3 linked regions of the Pelodiscus sinensis genome follow. The protein of the gene in region 1 purifies or fractionates together with the protein of each later gene. This does not show direct contact. Links are inferred from orthologs where the notes say so. Each region holds a gene or a part of one and is shown on either strand. Other genes may lie near its edges.

Evidence for each region. Proteins that work in one complex are often made in the same cells at the same time.
Region 2: the proteins of EGFR (region 1) and EMD purify together in Homo sapiens (affinity purification with mass spectrometry; 4 studies listed by BioGRID and IntAct, with this or other methods). This does not show direct contact. The link is inferred for Pelodiscus sinensis from reciprocal best matches to the Homo sapiens genes EGFR and EMD.
Region 3: the proteins of EGFR (region 1) and PEX19 purify together in Homo sapiens (co-immunoprecipitation; 3 studies listed by BioGRID and IntAct, with this or other methods). This does not show direct contact. The link is inferred for Pelodiscus sinensis from reciprocal best matches to the Homo sapiens genes EGFR and PEX19.

What each region holds. Positions count from the first base shown.
Region 1 is NC_134712.1:164,043,071-164,050,332, reverse strand, and holds the start of EGFR (epidermal growth factor receptor), read right to left. Parts: upstream 3,003-7,262; 5' UTR 2,695-3,002; coding exon 2,574-2,694; intron 1-2,573. UniProt on the Homo sapiens protein: Receptor tyrosine kinase binding ligands of the EGF family and activating several signaling cascades to convert extracellular cues into appropriate cellular responses.
Region 2 is NW_027466045.1:55,910-62,983, reverse strand, and holds the start of EMD (emerin), read left to right. Parts: upstream 1-4,054; 5' UTR 4,055-4,219; coding exon 4,220-4,301; intron 4,302-4,579; coding exon 4,580-4,654; intron 4,655-4,700; coding exon 4,701-4,711; intron 4,712-4,759; coding exon 4,760-4,838; intron 4,839-4,987; coding exon 4,988-5,218; intron 5,219-5,466; coding exon 5,467-5,567; intron 5,568-6,934; coding exon 6,935-6,984; intron 6,985-7,074. Other genes in the region: TREX2 (three prime repair exonuclease 2), read right to left, coding at 1,597-2,253. UniProt on the Homo sapiens protein: Stabilizes and promotes the formation of a nuclear actin cortical network. Stimulates actin polymerization in vitro by binding and stabilizing the pointed end of growing filaments. Inhibits beta-catenin activity by preventing its accumulation in the nucleus.
Region 3 is NC_134734.1:14,636,682-14,643,728, forward strand, and holds the start of PEX19 (peroxisomal biogenesis factor 19), read right to left. Parts: upstream 3,021-7,047; 5' UTR 2,917-3,020; coding exon 2,850-2,916; intron 1-2,849. UniProt on the Homo sapiens protein: Necessary for early peroxisomal biogenesis. Acts both as a cytosolic chaperone and as an import receptor for peroxisomal membrane proteins (PMPs).

The DNA of each region.
Region 1 (7,262 bases):
TCTGTGTTTACACCAATGGATCTGAGGCTGAGCCAGATTCTCATCTGTCAGTATGTTAAAATGTTTAGTATCACTGATTTGGTTTGGGAAAGTTGATGATTCTTTAAAAAAAAAAAAAAAAACCAAGATTAGTTTTCACTCGGCTGTATTTAAATTTGTTTTTAATTCTCAATGTTTAAAGAAAGATTTTTAAAAAAAATGGTATTGAAGTCACCTCAACTCAAACCAAAATGTAAAATTGTACATTTTGCATTCTAACAAACATTGTACTAGTATCCGAGTCCTTTAAAAAAATCATCTCTTTGTACAGTAAGAAATGACATTAAGTTCAGGTGAAATTTTTAAAATGTGAATGCTCATAACTATATACAGCTTAAAATTTCTTAGATGCTTCATATTAGTTTACTGTAGCACTTCATTGGTTTGTATTGCTTATGCACCTCCAGCCCCTCAAGTTGGTGATATATCGTATCAAAAAAAGGATCCCATGTACCCAAACATGGAGGCAGGTTCTGGGGTCATGAAGATGATCTGATCTATCATGCACCTATTACTTTGAAGGCAAAAGTTAAAATGTGGAACTATTTTATGAACCTTCAGCGGGTATCCAAGTTAGTCTGTCCAGGATAAACTTAAAACTTCCAGCTCAGCTTTCCCCTTGATATTTTTTACCCACTGCCTCTTCTTGTTCCTCCCTCCCATTTTTTCCTTCTTCTATCCCCACCCCCTTCTCCCCTATTTATTTTGGGCCTGGACATCCAACACTCTGCTCATCTGAAGAAGTGGGCTGTGCCCATGAAAGCTCATGATACCATCTACATGTTTTGTTAGTCTTTAAAGTGCTACATAACTATTTGATGATTCTTCAGTGAGGATTCTTCCTGTATCATAGCCTCCAATGGGAATTTTATCATTTAATTTGTTGAAGCAGGAGCATGCTACCTAAAAGCACTTTTCTGCTGCTCACCTTTAATGAGCATACAAATACAGCAAAAACAGAACAATCAGGCAACTCAGTGTAATTTGAAGATGACATACACTACTTCTGTCTTGGTCAACAGGTCTAACTCTCCTGATGTGAAAAGGCACTGGCAACTAATTATAACCGAGGTGTGGGTGGTGAAGCTATTGTCTATCATTTCTTTACTACTGGCTTATTAAATAATCATAGAATGGGCTCCTTCCTGGTCAGACCTAGGGCTCCGAGACTGTAACACCAATACAATAATTGCTACCTCTTAATGCTGTAAGCTTTAGTATTGTCCTTGCATCAAAATATTTTGCAGAAATTGTAAAACTCAGTCTGTGTTTCAAAACAATTTTATCTGAGCTGCACAATCACAGCAAAGGGAGTCAACTGCCCCCAAACCCTGCCCTAATTACATCAGCAACAGGTACGAGCTTGCTTCTTGGAACCAGAGTGCCTCTTGATTTCAAGATTGTGCAATTAGCTTTCTGAAAAGGCGTGTTTCTACTTTTCAAAGATGGTTTGATTGTTCGGAGTCACGAAATGCTAACGCTCCTCTAACAGACTTTCTAAAACTATTAGGTCTTTTCTCAATTTTTTTTAAACAAAAATCTGCATTGTGTTGTTGTTGGAGGATTCCCAAGATAAAGACAATTTTGCCTGGAACCGAAGTTGGCTGCCTATCCTTGAAGCTTATAAAAGGGGGGGGGGGGGGAGAGAGAGAGTTTGGCCAACCAAAAACTTTTTTTCTTCCCCAAACTGAAACTGCTTCCTTAACGTATTAAAACCTTGCAAACTAGGCTGAACAGTTCTCACTACGCCCGCGTCAGTACACGGCTACAGGACAAGAAACAGTCAGCGCAGCCGACCGTGAGAAACAAGCCGCGCCGGCCATTCACAAAACTTGCCAATTTGTTTAGACTGGTCACCCCACAACGTGCCCCCTGCGCGCATTTCAGCTCAACAGGGCTCAGGAGCCGGTGAGAACCACAAGCCAAGAGCCCAACCTGCCTGCAGTTGTTCCAAAACTGAGGCTCGCCTGGTACACGAGTTATTTGGCTCCGGCAGGTCTGTGAATCATCCATGCGCCCCCATCCAGGAAGACGTTAATAAGCCTCGGGCAATAGGACAAGCCTCAGCGCTTGTGAAACCGACCCAGCCGCCTGTCACTGCCTCTCCGCTCGTGGCTCCGCACCCCCCAGCGACGCCTCGGAGAGGCCCCTGAGAACAAGGGCACGGAGGGACTTCGTTTGCCAGGCTGCCTAGGACCCGCCTCGGGCGCTGCCGGGTTTACACGTGCGGGGCGCAAAGGGGGGTGGGCGCTCCGGAGGGCCGGGTTGCGAGGGGCCAACCTGGGGATCGCAGCGCGCGGTGCTGGCTGGGGAAAGGGCAAGGGACGTGCCCAGGATTTTCTCTCCCTCCCCTCCCAGGAGAAAGCAAGCCCCCGCCTCAGGCAATGGGACGCCGCGCCAGTGACACCCTCTCGGTCAGGGCATCTGGACAGCGCAGCGCTACGGAGCCGGAGGGAAAGTTTAACCCCCCCCCAGCCTGGGGACAGCGGGCTCCCCCCGAACACACGGGCAGCGCAGCAGGGCGCGAGCGGTACCTTTCTTCTCCACCGCGGCGCTGAGGCAGACGCAGGAGAGGAGCAGCACCAGGACAGCGGCGCCCCCAGCCCGGAGGTGCCCGCTGGCTGCTGCCCGCGGCCGGCGGCTCCAGTCCCCCATGCTGGGCTGGGCAACAATCCCCGGGGCTCGTCGCGGCTCCCTCCTGGTCCCGGCGGCGCTCAGCTGCGCTGCCCGGCTCTGCAGACCATGCTGAGCTGCTGCTGCTGCTGCCAGGGCGGCGGCGGCGGCTCCCACCGCCCCACGTGCGCGGCGGAGCAAGTGCCGGGGGCTGCTGGCGGCGACCCTGCTGCTCGCGCCCGGGGCGGAGGGCGCTGCTGGCTCGGGCAGGCGGCAGCTCCGCTCTCGCCCCCTTGTCCCAACTCCTCCGCTCGCAGCCAAACTTTCCCCGCACGCAGCCAGCCAGCAGGCTCAGGGGCTCCCTCTGGGGAATCCGCCCGCCCCGCGCAGGGGGCGGGGCAGGGGCGGGACTGGAGGAGGAGACACCCTGGCGGCGCCTCCCCCCTCCCGTGTTCCAGGTGAGGGGCTGGGGGGGGGCGCTCACCTGGGCCGGGAGCCCTGGGGGGAGCTAAGCGAATGTCCCTAGTTCCTGCCCAGTCCCCTCAGCCTGCCGCTCGCCTTAGCATTTGCTAAAGAGGAGCTCGCCCTCTTCGCTGTGGCTGCAGCTTTGCAGCCCTGCCCTTGGCCTCGTACCTAGGAAGGGCAGGGATCGAGCACGGTCTTTGCCTCAGGGCTCCTCAGGCGGAGGCAGAGCGAGCTGAGCCCTGGGCGAAAGGCTGGGAGAGGACTGGAGCCCTGCTCACTTGCACGTCCCCCCCGCCCTTTGACTATCGCCGCAGCTACGCAGGAGGTAGCCTAATCCCATTGACTTTGCTGGAATCCCCTGCGTTCCGCACCTCCTGGAAGTAAACACAGGCTCGGCCCTTCTCTCTGGGTGTGTGTGAGAGAGGGAGGATGTCTGGCAAAAGCGAACTGGGAAGTCTCGCCTGCGTTCTTGAGGAGGCGAGAGTGGAAATCAGTTCCCGAGCAACTCTGTCAGAAAGCAAAAGACTGATAAGGAGTAATTGTGGGAGACGGGAGTGGGAGGCTAAAATCAGTCAGTCGCTCCTTTGCTTTCAAAGGAGAGATTTGGAAATGAACTTTTTAAAAAATGCCAAGAGAGCTTTATGAAGGACCTCCCGGGGGAAAAATAAATAATTACCGGACGAAGTTAATGATTAAAAAAGTTACGACAGTGCACTAGAGCTTGGAGTTTTGCTACTGCTTTCTATGGGACCGATCCTGTTCCCACAGTGTGCATTTTATCATTAAAACTCTCTATGGAGTTTGTGAGAGTAGAAAAAAAGAGTCTAACTATATTATTTTTATGTGTCCTTTCCTCCCTCAATAACTCATAGTCCCTTGGGCACTGATCCTACTTGGAACTAATGGTTTTTGCTATATTGTATGCTCCTGTTCCTGTGTTGCTTGGTTAAGGAATACTGAATTAAGAAAAAAATTGTTTTATAATATTTTCCTTGTACAAACCAGCATATATATGCGCACACACACATTTGGACAACACATTAAATTATGTGGGTTTTTGATGGTTAGTATAACATACTGAGTTTGTGCATCTGGAAATACTATTACACTATCAGATACATTGTGGGTGGATTGTCTGGCTTTCATTAGAGACAAATAGGATTTTTTAAAATCACACCAGGTCAACATAAATAAACTTTGCAGCACTGTGGGGGTAACCTTAGTATATATTACAGATTGCAAATTGCACAAGAAGGATGGGTACTAGATTAAAGGTGCTGGGAGAGATGTCTGTCACATCTCATAAGAAAAAAAGTATAATGTAAAGCCTAATGTATCTACGATCTTGAAGATAGTGCAAGAATAATTTATTTAATGCATACTGTTAGCCTCCTGAATGCAATAGACTCAGACATTTACAGAGTTCACCAAAAACTAAATAAACCACAAACCAACACACACACACTTTATCTATGGTCAATCATCGTTTCTATTTGAATTTGTATGAAACTGACCATTTGACAGTGAGTGATCTCTTACCTCGTTCCTGACCTAAACTGAAAATATGTCAGCATTGCGCACTCTTTATGGAGGCATGTGGAGTAAGACATCCTTTTGGTATGTGCATGAATAGCAGTGGAGACGGGGAAGCACTGCTGAGTGGAGTATAGACATGTCTGAACCCTGTGGGCACCTATCCTACAAACAGCTTCACTTCTCTACATGTCCAAGCAATATCTCCCACATCTGTAGGGCTACTTTTAGTTCTGTTTTGTATAGTGGAATTTTTCCCATCACATGGAAAGACTCTAGCAGCAAGGAAAGGGCATGGAGGAGATGGTAGGGAAAGGCTCCCAATGTTCATCATCACCAGAGCCTTTCCCTGGCCACAGCTATTTCCCCCCTACTGCTATCTTTCATTGATGTATTGCTACACACCACAAAGTATATGCAGGTTGCTTTTCATTGCGGCATATAGTTACACGTACCCTATATGCCAGCACCAGTGGTGTGCAGCATAGATCTAGCCTTTAGGAATTCCCACTGTAGTTATCATTTCTCCTACTGCAAATGTTCAACTCATTTTCAGAGTGGAAAAGGCTCTTTTAGCACTGACACTATGGAGTTCTGCAGCAAACAGCTATCATTTTTTCCTACCCTATCCTACTGAGTTTGAATGTATTACATTCTTGACAACTGAACTCTTCTAGTCAAGAAAGTAAGATACATAAAGATACACCAAGACCTGAAGACCATATGCTGCAGCACAACTGGGAACTACCAAAGCTGTCAGGTCTGCAGATGTCTCCTGTTCACATAACCAAACAATCGCTGAAATTGTTAGTTTACATAATATCTCTGTTTCAAACACAGGAACCTGTTCTATGTGGGTATGTCTACACAGCAGCATTATTTCAGAATAACTGACATTATTTCGAAAAAACGTAGTGCATGTCTAAACTACAAGCTTTTATTTTGAAATAATGCTGAGATGGAGGACTTCTTACTCTGACTCATGGTAACCCTCATTTCATGAGTAGTAAGGGAAGTCGAAGCACCAAAAGCCGAATTAAGCTATTTCAATTTAAGCTATGCAATTGTGTAGTTTAATTCCACTTTAGCTTTGGGCTGTGTCTAGACTGGTCAGCTGTCTACACTGGCCACTTGAATTTGCACAAGAACACTGATGATCTAATGTAAGATTGTCAGTGTTCTTGCGCAAATACTATGATGCTCCCACTCGGGAAAAAGCCCCCTTGTGCAAATGCTTTTGCGCAAGAGGGCCGGTGTAGACAGGTAAAAACTGTTTTGCGCAAAAAAGCCCCGATGGCAAAAATGGCGATCGGGGCTTTCTTGTGCAAAACTGCATCTAGATTGGCACGGACGCTTTTCCGCAAAAAGTGCTTTTGCGCAAATGCATCCGTGCCAATCTAGACGCTCTTTTCCGCAAATGCTTTTAACAGAAAAACTTTTCCGTTAAAAGCATTTGCGGAAAATCATGCCAGTCTAGACTTAGCCTTGCTGTGTAGATGTACCCTGAAAGGCCTCTACAGGACTGACTAACAGAATTCTAATGTCCCACGGTTTTTGTTGTTTCAATAGGCGGGCTGTCATCCCTTACTACATGGCATAGGAAGAAATAATTGACATTTCCATAATTCCTCAATCCCCATCAACAGCAGAGATGGAATTAACCTCACTTGCCCCCACAGACTGTGTTGCAGAACAGAATGCAGCTTCAGAACAATTCCATGGTAGGTAGAGGGATTGTGGAATCTTGTTGCATGGAGTCCTTGCAGCTTGGTCCTCCACTCTTACAAAGCATAGGTGTGCCTTGCGTTCTATTGCCTTCTTACAAGGATGGTGACAGGATTTGTTCCACAATGAGAACTTGAAAGGTTTTATTATGAGCAGAGGAAAAAATAAAGGTGCATTGATTGGAAAGAATTTAATCTTTAATTTGTTCAGACTTCATCTGTGTTATGCTGGAGTTTGTACAGAATGTACTTTGACGTATTTTGCATTTTAATGTAAGAAATGATTAAATGACTTATAGCACTTCTGTGGTCCCTGACACTTTCAAACATTAACTAGTTATTCTTCACAACTCTCCTGTGAAGCAGCTTAGTATATATAAGATCCACATTTTACAAAATATCTTCTCTGGAAGCAGCATGATATATAGGCATATAGATAGATATAGACAGATACATATTCACATACACACGGGTAATAATTGTTTGCCTAACAGCATGTAGGGAGATTTGGGAAGGTATACAGATGGGCACTGGGGTTAAGCCTTAGTAACCATAAATCCCTTAGTCAATATTGCTTTACACAGAATATGTGCCTCTGTCCAAATCAAGAGATTTTTATATTTCTGAGTTTGTACTGCCACTATCTATGCTCAAGGCTATCCCTCCCACCCTCCAAGGGGCCAGGACACAGACCGGTGGTTACAATACATGGAGGAGGACCCTACTCCAGGGACGGTCCTGTATGCAAACATACAACACGGGGGGAAGGGGAGTAACCGAGTGGGCCCAAGGCACACTACTGTGGTGTCACCTGGGCTCAGGGGTGGAGACCATGAGGTGTGGGGACAGTGGATGGGCTGCCTGACTGACCCATCCTTTCTTCTGTTC
Region 2 (7,074 bases), on another chromosome or scaffold:
CAGCCCCCCCTCCCCACCCAGACACAAGACAGACCCCAGGAGTCCTCCCCCGCTGTAACCCCCAGCCCCCCCTCCCCACCCAGACACAAGACAGACCCCAGGAGTCCTCCCCTGCTGTAACCCCCAGCCCCCCCCCCCACCCAGACACAAGACAGACCCCAGGAGTCCTCCCCCGCTGTAACCCCCAGCCCCCCCTCCCCACCCAGACACAAGACAGACCCCAGGAGTCCTCCCCTGCTGTAACCCCCAGCCCCCCCCTCCCCACCCAGACACAAGACAGACCCCAGGAGTCCTCCCCTGCTGTAACCCCCAGCCCCCCCCTCCCCACCCAGACACAAGACAGACCCCAGGAGTCCTCCCCTGCTGTAACCCCCAGCCCCCCCCCACCCAGACACAAGACAGACCCCAGGAGTCCTCCCCTGCTGTAACCCCCAGCCCCCCCCCCCCCCAGACACAAGACAGACCCCAGGAGTCCTCCCCTGCTGTAACCCCCAGCCCCCCCCTCCCCACCCAGACACAAGACAGACCCCAGGAGTCCTCCCCTGCTGTAACCCCCAGCCCCCCCCCCCCCAGACACAAGACAGACCCCAGGAGTCCTCCCCTGCTGTAACCCCCAGCCCCCCCCCCACCCAGACACAAGACAGACCCCAGGAGTCCTCCCCCGCTGTAACCCCCAGCCCCCCCCCCCCCCAGACACAAGACAGACCCCAGGAGTCCTCCCCTGCTGTAACCCCCAGCCCCCCCCCCACCCAGACACAAGACAGACCCCAGGAGTCCTCCCCCGCTGTAACCCCCAGCCCCCCCCTCCCCACCCAGACACAAGACAGACCCCAGGAGTCCTCCCCTGCTGTAACCCCCAGCCCCCCCCCCACCCAGACACAAGACAGACCCCAGGAGTCCTCCCCCGCTGTAACCCCCAGCCCCCCCTCCCCACCCAGACACAAGACAGACCCCAGGAGTCCTCCCCTGCTGTAACCCCCAGCCCCCCCCCCACCCAGACACAAGACAGACCCCAGGAGTCCTCCCCTGCTGTAACCCCCAGCCCCCCCCCCACCCAGACACAAGACAGACCCCAGGAGTCCTCCCCTGCTGTAACCCCCAGCCCCCCCCTCCCCACCCAGACACAAGACAGACCCCAGGAGTCCTCCCCCGCTGTAACCCCCAGCCCCCCCCTCCCCACCCAGACACAAGACAGACCCCAGGAGTCCTCCCCCGCTGTAACCCCCAGCCCCCCACTCCCCACCCAGACACAAGACAGACCCCAGGAGTCCTCCCCTGCTGTAACCCCCAGCCCCCCCCCCCCCAGACACAAGACAGACCCCAGGAGTCCTCCCCTGCTGTAACCCCCAGCCCCCCCCCCCCACCCAGACACAAGACAGACCCCAGGAGTCCTCCCCTGCTGTAACCCCCAGCCCCCCACTCCCCACCCAGAGCCAACACAACCCAGGTAATGGCTCGCAGCCCCCCACCCCCGCTCTAAGCACTAGCCCCCACTCCTCTCTGAGAACCCAGGCGTCCTGGCTCTCAGACCTCTCCCCCTCTTCCTTCCCCCCAGAGAGCGCCCAGGGCTCTTGGCGCTCACTGTGTGCTGGGGGGCTACATGGGGGTCACTTCCTCCCAGGCTCGGGCCTTCTCTGCCGCCCAGCCCATGAGGGCCGGGGCCCGGGCGAGGAAGATGGCGAGGAGGGTGCGGACGTCGCCCTCGGCCGAGTGGGCCCCGTCGGGCTCCCTGCCGAAGAGCCCCCGGAACAGCGCCCCCAGGTTGTAGCCCCTCTCGCTCCCCAGGCCCAGCTCCTGCAGGGCCCTCAGGGTGTCCAGGCAGCCGGTGCCAGGAGGCAGCTCGGCCCCCACACGCGCCAGCTCCGCCCGCAGCAAGGGGAAATCGTAGTCGAAGCCATTGTGGGCCACCAGGCAGAGGGGGGCGGCTTGGCGGGCCAGGAACCCGCCCAGGGCCCGAGCCACGGCCTGGTCCAGACCCCGCTTGCCGTTCTCCTGCAGGCCCTGCTGGCTGAGCCCCGTGATGTCGGCGGCTTTCGGGCTGAAGGGCTTCAGGGGGTCGATGCACAGGGTCAGCTGGTCCAGGATGCGGGGCAACTGGGGGGCGCCAGCGGCGTCCTGCGGGGGGCGCTGTAGGAGGGAGCGGCGATGCAGGGCGAAGAGGCACAGCTCAGCCAAGCGGGGGTGCTCCTGGGGCAGGCCGGTGGTCTCCAGGTCCAGAAAGACGAAGGTTTGGAAATCCTGAGGGGCCAGCATGGCTGGGGTCGGAGAGGAAGAGGAGTGAGGGGAAGCAGGTGATGCGGCTGTCTCTGGGGTAGAGCAGGGAGCCAGGACTCCTGGGCTCCGTCCCCAGCAATGGGAGGGGAATGGAGTCTAGTGGTTAGGGCGGGGGAGGGAGGGGCTGGGAGCCAGGACTCCTGGGCTCCGTCCCCGTCCCCCCCGCAATGGGAGGGGAGTGGAGTCTAGTGGTTAGGGCGGGGGAGGGAGGGGCTGGGAGCCAGGACTCCTGGGCTCTGTCCCCAGCAATGGGAGGGGAGTGGAGTCTAGTGGTTAGGGCGGGGGAGGGAGGGGCTGGGAGCCAGGACTCCTGGGCTCCGTCCCCAGCAATGGGAGGGGAGTGGGGTCTAGTGGTTAGGGCGGGGGAGGGAGGGGCTGGGAGCCAGGACTCCTGGGCTCCATCCCCCCCGCAATGGGAGGGGAGTGGAGTCTAGTGGTTAGGGCGGGGGAGGGAGGGGCTGGGAGCCAGGACTCCTGGGCTCTGTCCCCAGCAATGGGAGGGGAGTGGGGTCTAGTGGTTAGGGCGGGGGGGGGACCAGGACACTCACCTGCTCAGTGACTGCGTGCCTCAGTTTCCCAGTGTGTGCAGGCGCCCCGCTCTCCCTGCAGGAGTGTCTCTCGCGGTGCCCTGGCGCTGTGTGAGCTGCGGGAGGGCAGGACACCTGTTTGGGGGGGCGGGGGGGCGGGGCGCTCGTGGGGAAATCGAAACTGGCCAAGGAGAAGTGATGAGTCACACGGGCTCGTATCTCCCGCGGCCTTCTGGGGGCGGTGAGCGCCCTGCCCCCCTCCGAGGGCCCAGGGGCCCTGCCCCCCCGAACCCAGGCGCCCTGCCCCCCCCGAGGGCCCAGGCGCCCTGCCCCCCCGAACCCAGGCGCCCTGCCCCCCCCCGAGGACCCAGGCGCCCTGCCCCCCCGAACCCAGGCGCCCTGCCCCCCCCGAGGGCCCAGGCGCCCTGCCCCACCGAACCCAGGCGCCCTGCCCCCCCCGAGGGCCCAGGCGCCCTGCCCCCCCGAACCCAGGCGCCCTGCCCCCCCCGAGGTCCCAGGCGCCCTGCCCCCCCCCGAGGGCCCAGGCGCCCTGCCCCCCCGAACCCAGGCGCCCTGCCCCCCCCGAGGGCCCAGGCGCCCTGCCCCCCCGAACCCAGGCGCCCTGCCCCCCCCGAGGTCCCAGGCGCCCTGCCCCCCCCCGAGGACCCAGGCACCCTGCCCCCCCTCCGAGGGCCCAGGCGCCCTGCCCCCCCGAACCCAGGCGCCCTGCTCCCCCCCGAGGACCCAGGCGCCCTGCCCCCCCCGAGGGCCCAGACGCCCTGCCCCCCCCGAACCCAGGCGCCCTGCTCCCCCCCGAGGACCCAGGCGCCCTGCTCCCCCCCGAGGACCCAGGCGCCCTGCCCCCCCCGAGGGCCCAGGCGCCCTGCCCCCCCCGAACCCAGGCGCCCTGCCCCCCCCCAGGACCCAGGCGCCCTGCCCCCCCCCCCAGAACCCAGGCGCCCGGGCTCAGCGGGGCGGGCGGGGAGTTCCCCAGCTGGGAGGGGGCGTTGCGAGGGGCGCGAGACCGTTGCCAGGGAGGGGGGGGGGAAGCTGGGCGGACACGCGGGCTAGGGCGTTGCTAGGGCGGGCCGAGCGAGCCGTTGCTAGGGCGGGCCGAGCGGAGCGGAGCGGGGCGGGGCGTTGCTAGGGCGGGCCGAGCAGAGCGGGGCGGGGCGTTGCTAGGGCGGGCCGAGCGGGGCGGGGCGTTGCTAGGGCGGGCCCAGCGGGGCGGGGCGAGCGGTTGCTAGGGCGGGCCGAGCGGGGCGGGGCGTTGCTAGGGCGGGCCCAGCGGGGCGGGGCGTTGCTCGGGGCGGCGCGCTGCGCCCTTGCCGGCCCCTCCCCCGCGTGTCACTTCCTGTCGCCGCTGGCGCCTCCTGGGCCCGCTCCGCGCCGGAAGCGCCCGCCCCGCCCCGCCCGCCATGGAGCGGTACCGGGACCTGTCGGACACCGAGCTCGTCGCCCGGCTGCAGCGCTACGGCATCGCGCACGGGCCCGTCGTGGGTACGGGGGGGAGGGGCGCTGGGGGGCCGCGAGGGAGGAGCTGGGGGGGGCCGCGGGGGGGGATCTGGGGGGGGCTGGGGGGCCGCGAGGGGGGATCTGGGGGGGGCGCTGGGGGGCCGTGGGGAGGCAAGAGAAGCAGGCTCTGGGGGGCAGCCAGCGGGGTGTGATGGGAACAGGCGGAGCAGGGATGGGGGGGGGGCAGAGACATTCTGTGAGCTGTGGGGGGCAGGGCACCGTGGGCCCACCTGACCCCCCCCCCCTTGTCTCCCGGCCCCCAGGATCGACCCGGAAGCTCTATGAGAAGAAGATCTATGAGTTCGAGAGCCAGCGCACCAAGCTGTCGCCCCTGGGGGGTCTGTGAGCTACTCGGGTGAGTGGGGGGCCAGGAGGGCTGGGGAGGAGCCAGCAGCGTAGCCGCTGACACCCTCCCCCCCCCCCCCTTTTCTGTGTGTCCAGAGCCCAGCACTACCAAGACCTACATCCAGGAATCCTACAGCTACCGCCCACCAGAGGAGCGGCACCGCTACGGGGACGACAGTGAGAGGGGCTGCGGGGTGGAGTGAGGGCCGTGGGCAGAGCTTGGGGGGTGGGCACCCTGGGTCGGGCAGGGCCGGAGGGGGGGGCTGGGCTGGCAGGGGCTGTGGGTGGCAAGTGAGGGGCGCCGGCAGAGCTCAGGCTGGGATGAGCAGCAGACTGTGGGTTGGGAGTGAGGGGCATGGCAGTTTTCCTGGACTTGGGGTACAAAGGTTGGGGCATCTGGGGGTTCCTTTCTCCCATGGGGGTGGGGGCTAAAGGTGCCCTCCCACTAATCCCTCCTGTGTGTCTCTGCCTCCAGATATCCAGCCCCACCAGGACGTACACGCGGGAGCTGTATGATTTTCCTCGCCGAGAGGGTCGCACCAGCTACCTTGGGGATGGTGAGGGGGGCAGGCATTTCCTCTGGTGCGGGTGCAAGGGGGGTACAGAGCAGGGAGGATGTGTGGGAACACAGAGGGGAGGGGAAGCTTTGTAACTTCTCAGGCCTGGGCCTGACACCCCATCCCCACCCCGTCCCCCAGGCCACATTGACATTCCTGCACCAGGGAGTTCCAGGGGTGGTGCTCTGGGGGGGTGGGGGGAGAAGAGCCACGCCCAGCCCCTATCTCACCCCACTCCTCCCCCCCAGATGTGGACAGCGAGTCTTACGAAGAATCTTCCTCCTCCTCCTCCTCGTGGTTCTACGGGTCAGGCCCAGGTCCCATGGGGGAAGCCACTGCCCGCCAGCCGGTAAGTCAGGCCTTATTTGGGGGCAGGGATCTGGGGCAGGGGGCAGCTCCAGTTCTCTCCCTACGCTCTCTGCCCCCCGCCCCAACCCAGACTCTCACACTGCCCCTCCGCTCCCTCCTACTTGGTCCTACCACATCTGACCCCCAATTCTGCCCCATCTCCAGCACCCTGGGGCAATCCTGCACTTGGCTGCTGGTCCAGCCTGGCAGGCTGTTGGCGGCTGGGTGATGGGAGGGGCTGGTGAAGCTGGAACTAAGTTGGGTGATGTTGTGTGGTGTAGAGTCAGTCCCTTGCTGGTTGCTCTGCATGGGCTGTGGGTGACCCCCGCTGGCGGCTGTCCGGAAGCATGACCCAGCAGCAGGTGCCTGGCCGCCCCAGGGCACCTTTGTAACAAAATGTCAACTTTGTAACTGTTAAAGCACCAGCTGTCAGCATGGCCTACCCAAGCAGAGCAAGTACCCTGAACCACAGCCCGAGAAGCGGTCCCCGCTGGCTGTTGCTGTCAGTAGCCCGCCTTTCTTTTTTTTGAGTTGAGTGTCTGCGGAAACCGAGCTTTGCTGGGCTCGATCGATAAGAATCGAATCCTTCCCGCTGGCTCTGCCGCTCCCGTCATGGCAAACGAAAAGGGAATCGCTGGACTCTAGCTCCTCCCTTGGTCCCCCCGAGTAAGGCCTCGAGTGTGACTGTCGGGCCCGGGCGCGCTCCTGTTGAAGCACACGCAACCCTGGAGGTGCCCTTCATTCAGTTTAGGTCTCTCCCTTTCGAAGGGAGCTGAATTAAGGCCACTTGCTCTAGTGCTAGAGCACGAAGGGCCCCGGCTTGCCTCTGCGCCCAGCGCTGCCGGGCTGGCACTGCTTAGTGTCTGCTGTTCCAGAGCCAAAGAGGGTGCAGGGGGAGGGGGACTCCCCAAGGAAAGGCTGGTGGTGCAGCGTGTCCCGTGCTGGAGAGATGCAAATGACTCCCTAGACAGAGCCAGGGTATGTGGCTGAGCGAGCTCCTGCCCCATAGCTGGACAGCACCTGCAGCCCCCCATGCCTGGAGTAACCTGATGATTGGGGCCCTACCAATTTCACTGCGGTAGAAAATGTGCCAGGGCTCCCTCCCCCCCCTTAGCAGCCCTCCCCCCACAGCTCCCCCTCCCCTCTTCCCTGTAGAAGCAGCCATCTGTGTGTTCCCTCCCTCCCCTGCAGACTGCTCTGCACAGGCACCTCAGACCCCGGAAGCGCCCAGCTGTGGCAGCAGCACAGAAGTGAGGGGACAGGCCCAAGGGCCTTGGGGGGGGGAGGTTTCAGGTGAACACGTTTGCGAACCAGGTGGGTGTGAAATTGGCCAGCCTGGGGCGTGACGGCCGATGCTTTTCCTTGCAGATCGGCGAGTCCGCGGCCTACGCCCCCAGCAGGACAGAGGAGGCTGAGAGGTGAGACGCAGTTGTTGGGGTAGGGCCCCCCTCCGAGGGGCCAGCTGGCATTGACGGGAGGGGGCTGGAGTCTAAGGGGGGAGCTGTGGG
Region 3 (7,047 bases), on another chromosome or scaffold:
AGTTCTCAGCCTATGCGTGGTACTTTATTTTATGCACACGCAGCATGGCGGCATAGCCGTGATCCCTGAAGATCCAGCTTTGTGGGGCAAGTTCCCCCTCCCTCCAGGGCTCACGTTGATGAACTGACACAAGACACCTAGGTGAGGGACAGTTAAAGGGACTCAATCGGGTTAAATTTAGCTGCAGGTTTCGATGGCCTGAAAGATTGTTTCAAAATTAATATAAAGAGCTAATGAAATGTTTAAAATTCAATTAAAATTATTTCTATGAGAACCAAGCTGTGCAGCACAAGGCTGGCACCAGAAAAATCTCAAAGAAAACTGGTCAAAAACTCGCTGTGAACCAGAAGAGCACTTGGCTAGATTGCATCAATATTCAAACAAGCCGGATGGTATCCCTTGAGGGCCAAGGATGATCCCAGGGCCAGAGAGCCCCAGTGGCTGGGAGCTGGGCAGCAGGACAGCTAGCAGCTGGGAGCCCTGGGAGCCCAGTGGGGCTGGCAGCAGCCTGGCAAGTGAGGGGGGACTGTGGCAACCCAATAGCCTGGCAGAGGAGCCAAGGTTGAGGCAGCAGCAGCCTACCTGAGGAGCTACGGTGTAGCAACACAGCAGCCCAGTAGAGGAGCCAGTATCGCCACATCGTAGCAATCCGGCAGGAGGGCTGGGGCTGCGGCAGCCCGGCAGGGGTTATGGGGCTGCGGCAGCCCGGCAGGGGTTATGGGGTTGCGGCAGCCCGGCAGGGGTTATGGGGCTGCGGCAGCCCGGCAGGGGTTATGGGGCTGCGGCAGCCCGGCAGGGGTTATGGGGCTGCGGCAGCCCGGCAGGCAGCCTGCCCAGGGCCAGTGGTAGGGTGACCGGCCGGGGCCGTAACCTGAGCCAGCAGTGGGTTGGGGGGCAGTGGCAGGGAACCTCCCCAAGTCTTGCAAATTCCCTCATGCAGGACCAGTCCAGTTCTGAGGGTGCTGGACCAGGGAAGTCCAACCTTTACCAACAAGGAGCACAAAGAATTAGGAGATTGGCACCACCCCTGAAAGCAAGTTTAGCTGCACCACTGACTTCTTACTCAGTGGAAGAATGGCTATGCATAAAGCCACAAAACACTAAGGCTGTGCAAAACTGGGCTCAACATTCTTAGCATTCATTCAGTGTTAGTGATCTGAGATGTTATGACATAGTTGAGAAAACTTTGTAGTACTTTTCCTTAGTGTGACAGTGTCCCTTTAAGGATTCACAGATTCTGCTCCTGGCTAAAAATTACCCACATCTTATTATTTGTTACCTTCTTTCCCCACCACAAATTGTTTGTTTCATCCACGCTTTATGCCAGGGGTGGGGAACCTCAGGCCTGTGGGCCCTTGCCTAGATCCGGCCCCCAGCTTGCCTAGTTCTGGCCCCCGATGCTCAGCATTGGGACATAGTAGGTGCTGAGCCTACTCCTAACAGGGCTGGAGCACACAAAATCTACTAGCCTGGGCCCCTTTAGGCTCTGGTGTGCATGGGGAATGTGGAGAATGTCTTTCTCCTTCTCAGTGAGGGGTTTCTGACTTTGCTTTTCACTTGTGCGGGGCCTCTGACTGATTTTTCTGGGGGTCAGTGGTCCCCGACCCAAAAAAGGTTCCCCAAAAAAGGTTCCCTGCTTTATGCCTTGGCTTTTAGGTTATAAGCTTTGTGGGGTGGAGTCTGCCATGTTTTATATACAGCATCTAGCACAACGGAGCTCAGGTTGGTTAGTCTCTGGGCCCTAGGGCAATATAAAGCAAGCCACCCGCACCCATGCCTACAACAGAAATCAGTTCATCCACTGAAATGCCGGGGTGAAGCATGGTGGCTGTTTAACAGCCATGTAAGTAAATGTAGGACAAATGAGGGACAAAGTATGTTGTATCTAAATAAAGCTGCAGGGAAATTTGTGCAGGGTGATCACCTAAGCAGCAATTCATCCCCAACAGAGTTAGTGGCCAGGCAGCCCAAAACAAACACACATGGCTGGTAACTTTCACCTCTCTTCCAGAGGACATAGCCCTCTGACCAGCACCTGCCACCCTTGCACTGGGCCCTGGATAACTGACAAGAGAGTCACCCGACACCCAATGAATCTCCCTTTAAGTCCCCCAAACTCAAATATGGACCAAGGTCAACCTGGCAGCCTCAAGCCAAGAGGGTCAAAGACCAGCTGTTGTGAACAGAGCGTCCTAGTCGGCTGAGAACGCCTATTTCAGATGAATGCCACGCTCCGATAGCACTCAGAAATAATAATGCTTCCTAACCCAGCAACTTTTAGAGGCCCCCATTCACACCATCATCATACAGCCCACGTTATGTCCAAGATTATGTTTATTTACCACAGTTTGGCAGGTCTCCACCCCACATTCACTGGGTCTCAAGCACTTGGATCTCAACTTTGAATGTTTTAGTAGATGGGCCCTCTCAGCTGCTGGTCACTCAGAGCCCCCTGGAGGGAGGCAGGGCGCAGCCCGCAGCACCCCTGAAATCCCAGCCCCCCAGTAACCTGCAGGGCAATCAAGGGCCTGACAGGAGAGCCACCCCAGCCGCACCTCTACCAGCAGCTCCCTCAAACGCTGCCAGAGGGGTGGAGCCCCTGGGGCCCTGCTGGCCGAGAATACAAGTGACGGGGTGTCTCAAGACCGAGGCCCTGCTAGATACAGTCCTGTCCTGCCACAGGGGTCCCCACGTGATGGAAGCCCCCCCCACCGATCAGCCCCACACCAGGCCTGACCCCCCATCTGATCTTACATCCCGAGCCCTTCGCCCCTCCAGCCCCCCCCCCCGGGCTAGGATCCTCCCCTTCCCCCGCCAGAGAGCCCCGGGGCCGCTCCCCAGCCCCTTACTCTCCAGCAGCTCGTCCAGCTCCCGGTCCGGGCCCGCCTGCCCGGCCCCCGCCGCCGCCGCCGCCATCTTCGCTGCCGCCTCCCGTCCGGTCCTGCGCGGGGCGGAGCTGGCCGGCCCGGAGCCTCCTGGGGGCAGGCCCGGCCGCCGCCGCCAGCTTAGGGGAGGGAGCGTCCCTCCTCCCCCCGCTGGGCGTTGCGCGGCCCGGCACCTCCCCTGCCGGCCCGGTACGCGCCTCCCCCAGGGCCTGGCCCCCCCACCAGGGCCCCTTACCCCTCCGAGCCTGGCACCTTTACCTGTCTGCCCTGCTCCCCTTCCAGGACCTGCCTTACCCCTCCGAGCCTGGCACCTTTACCTGTCTGCCCTGCTCCCCTTCCAGGACCTGCCTTACCCCTCCGTGCCTGGCACCTTTACCTGTCTGCCCTGCTCCCCTTCCAGGACCTGCCTTACCCCTCCGAGCCTGGCACCTTTACCTGTCTGCCCTGCTCCCCTTCCAGGACCTGTCTTACCCCTCCGAGCCTGGCACCTTTACCTGTCTGCCCTGCTCCCCTTCCAGGACCTGCCTTACCCCTTCGAGCCTGGCACCTTTACCTGTCTGCCCTGCTCCCCTTCCAGGACCTGCCTTACCCCTCCGAGCCTGGCACCTTTACCTGTCTGCCCCGCCCCCCTTCCAGGACCTGCCTTACCCCTCCGAGCCTGGCACCTTTACCTGTCTGCCCTGCTCCCCTTCCAGGACCTGCCTTACCCCTCCGAGCCTGGCACCTTTACCTGTCTGCCCTGCTCCCCTTCCAGGACCTGCCTTACCCCTCCGAGCCTGGCACCTTTACCTGTCTGCCCTGCTCCCCTTCCAGGACCTGCCTTACCCCTCCGAGCCTGGCACCTTTACCTGTCTGCCCTGCTCCCCTTCCAGGACCTGCCTTACCCCTTCGAGTCTGGCACCTTTACCTGTCTCCCCCGCCCCTCTTCCAGGACCTGCCTTACCCCTTTGAGCCTGGCACCTTTACCTGTCTGCCCCGCCCCCCTTCCAGGACCTGCCTTACCCCTTTGAGCCTGGCACCTTTACCTGTCTGCCCTGCTCCCCTTCCAGGACCTGTCTTACCGCTTCGAGCCTGGCACCTTTACCTGTCTCTCCTGCCCCCCTTCCAGGACCTGCCTTACCCCTTCGAGCCTGGCACCTTTACCTGTCTCTCTCTCCCCCGCTCCCCTTCCAGGACCTGCCTTACCCCTTCGAGCCTGGCACCTTTACCTGTCTCTCCCCCCCCTTCCAGGACCTGCCTTACCCCTTCGAGCCTGGCACCGTTACCTGCCACCCCCCCCCTTAGAATCTGGCATCCCTTACCTGGGTCCTCCCACTCCCCCTAGGAGCTGCCTTACCCCTTAGAGCCTGGCACCGCTTACCCGCCTCTACCAGGGGCTGGCACTTCCGGACCTACCTTACCATTTTAGAGCCTGGCACCCCTTGTCTGGCTCCCTCCTTTCTGCCTCCCTAGGGACTGGCAGCCTCCATCCTAGGGCCAGACAGCTACCTGTCCCCCTCTCCCTGCTGCACAGGCCCTGGCTTCCTCTTGCCTGCCACCCACCCTCCTTAGAGCCTGGTACCCATCACCTGTTCCTGCCTCCGGGGCCTGGCACCCCTGTTGGGTGTTGGCACCTTCACTCATCTCCATTAGGGCCTGGCATTAGCCACCTGCCTCCACCAAGTTTGGCAGCCTGCCCTTGCCAGGGTTGGCACCATAGGGACTATCACCCACCCCTTAGAGATTGACACCCCCACCAGACCTGGCATCCCACACCCTTTCCTTCCCCTCTTGCTTGGATCAGTCACACAGCCTCCCCCACCATCAAGGGGGCAACTAGAATTTTGCTAAAGAGGGTGCCCTACCATTATGCCAGCCAGTTCTAGTCAGGGGGTGCTGTTCTGCCTGCCCTCCCACCCTTGTTGTGTTCCTGCTTGATATTTGAGTTTTCATGAGAAGTTATACAGCAAAGAAAAGCTAGTGTGAAACTCAAATCCTTGCAAGCTGCATGGAAGCTTTTTTTAAAGACCCCATTATAGAGGCTTAAATTCAATACATAACCCAATTTAAAAAATATAGTAAAGTGCTACTGTGGCTAAGCAATAAAGTCAAAGTAGAAATTAAATTCTACTGAGAAAAACAGAAAAGAATATAAACTCTGGCAAGTGAAGTGTAAAAATATAACTAGGAAAGATAAAAAAGAATATGAAGAACAGTTAGCCAAAGACTCAGAAAGTTTAACATTAAAAAAAAAATCAGAAGTAGGAAGCCTGCTAAACAATCAATGGGGTCACTCAAGGTGGGTAAAGCATAGTGGAGAAATTAAATTAAGAAATCATTTAATTTTTCCACTGCTGAGAATACGATGGACATTCCCAAACCTGAGCCATTCTTTTTAGATGTCAAATCTAAGGAATAGTCTGAGATTGAGGTGTCATTAGAGGAAGTTTTGGAACAAACTGATAAACATTAATAAGTCACCAGCACCAGATGGTATCACCCAAGAGTTCGGAAGTAACTCAAATGTGAAATTGAACTACTAACCGGTATGTAACCTGTTTTTAAAATCAACTTCTGTACTTCAGGTTGCCTCATGTTAAAAAAGGTACAGAAAAGGGCAACAGAAATGATGAGGGGGATGGAGATTAACGAGACTTGGTTACGTTTACACTGCACACCTGAAAATTGTACAGCTGAGCTACTGCAACCACGTTGTTGTAAAGCACACAGTGCAGCCCTCTGTGACCAGGAAAGAGCCCACGGCCCTTAGCTGTCTTTTCCAACTCCAAAGGTCCATGCCATGTCTACACTGCACTTTTGCTGAAAAACACCCCCTGCACAACAAAAGTTTGAACGATTAAATGCGCCAGAGTGGACAGCACTTCATTGGCAAGGAAATGCTCTCCCACCGACAAAGCCACGACCCCTCATTTGGGGGAGAGTGTATTTTGTTGCCTGGAGAGCTCTCTCCCAGGAACAAAGAGCAGCTACACTGCGGTTTTCACAATGGCACAGCTGCAGTGTCACAGCCATGCTGTTGTAAAATACACAGTGTAGGCACAGTCTAAGGGGAGATATGGTAGAAGTCTATAAAATCATGACTGGTGTGGAGAAAGTAAATAAGGAAGTGTTAATTACTCTTTCATGTACATGCACAGGTTGACATGAACAAACAACAATATGTGACATATAACCTCCACCATGCAGAACACAACACTATACACAGCTTCAAAAACAATTCTAAGGTTATAATCAAAGAGGCTGACAAAGGGGGTGCTATAGTCATCAAGAACAGGACAGATTACAAACAGGAGGCTGCAAGAAAACTCATCAACACCACATTCTACAGGCCTCTTTCCTCTGATCCCACTGAAGAATACTCAGAAAAACCCTACACCATCTGCTCATGAAACTTGGGATGAAATCTATACAAACCCCTTGCTAAATCTCTAACCAGGAGTTTTCTATCTGCTACCCAAGATCCATAAACCTGGAAATCCCGGATGTCCTATCATCTCAGGCTTCAGCACACTTACAGCAGAATTATCTGGTTATGTTGACTCTCTCCTCAGACTCTATGCTATCAGCACTCCTAGCTACCTTCAAGACATCACTGACTTGCTAAGGAAACTACAGAACATCAGTAATCTTCCTGAAAACACCATCCTGGCCACCATGGATATAGAAGCTCTTTACTCCAACTTTCCACATGATGATTATTACTAGCTGTCAGGAACACTATCCCTGATGATGCTACTGCACACCTGGTTACTGTGCACTGTGACTTTGTCCTCACCCACAACTATTTCCAATTTGGGACCATTTATATCTTCAAGTTGACGACATCTTTGTTATATGGAACCACAGGACGAAACCCTTGAAGAATTCCACAGGGATTTCAACAACTTCCATACCACTATCAACCTTAGCCCGGACCAGTTCACACAAGAGATCCATTTCCTTGACACTACAGTACAATGGCCACATTTCCACCACCCTACATCAGAAACCTAATGACCATTATTCTTAGCTACATACCTCTAGCTTCCATCCAGGACACGTTACACAATCGTTTACAGACAGGCTTTAAGATACAACCGGATTTGCTCCTATCTGACAGACAGAGACAAACACCTACAGGATCTCTATCAGGCATTCTTAAAACTTAAATACTCACCTGGGT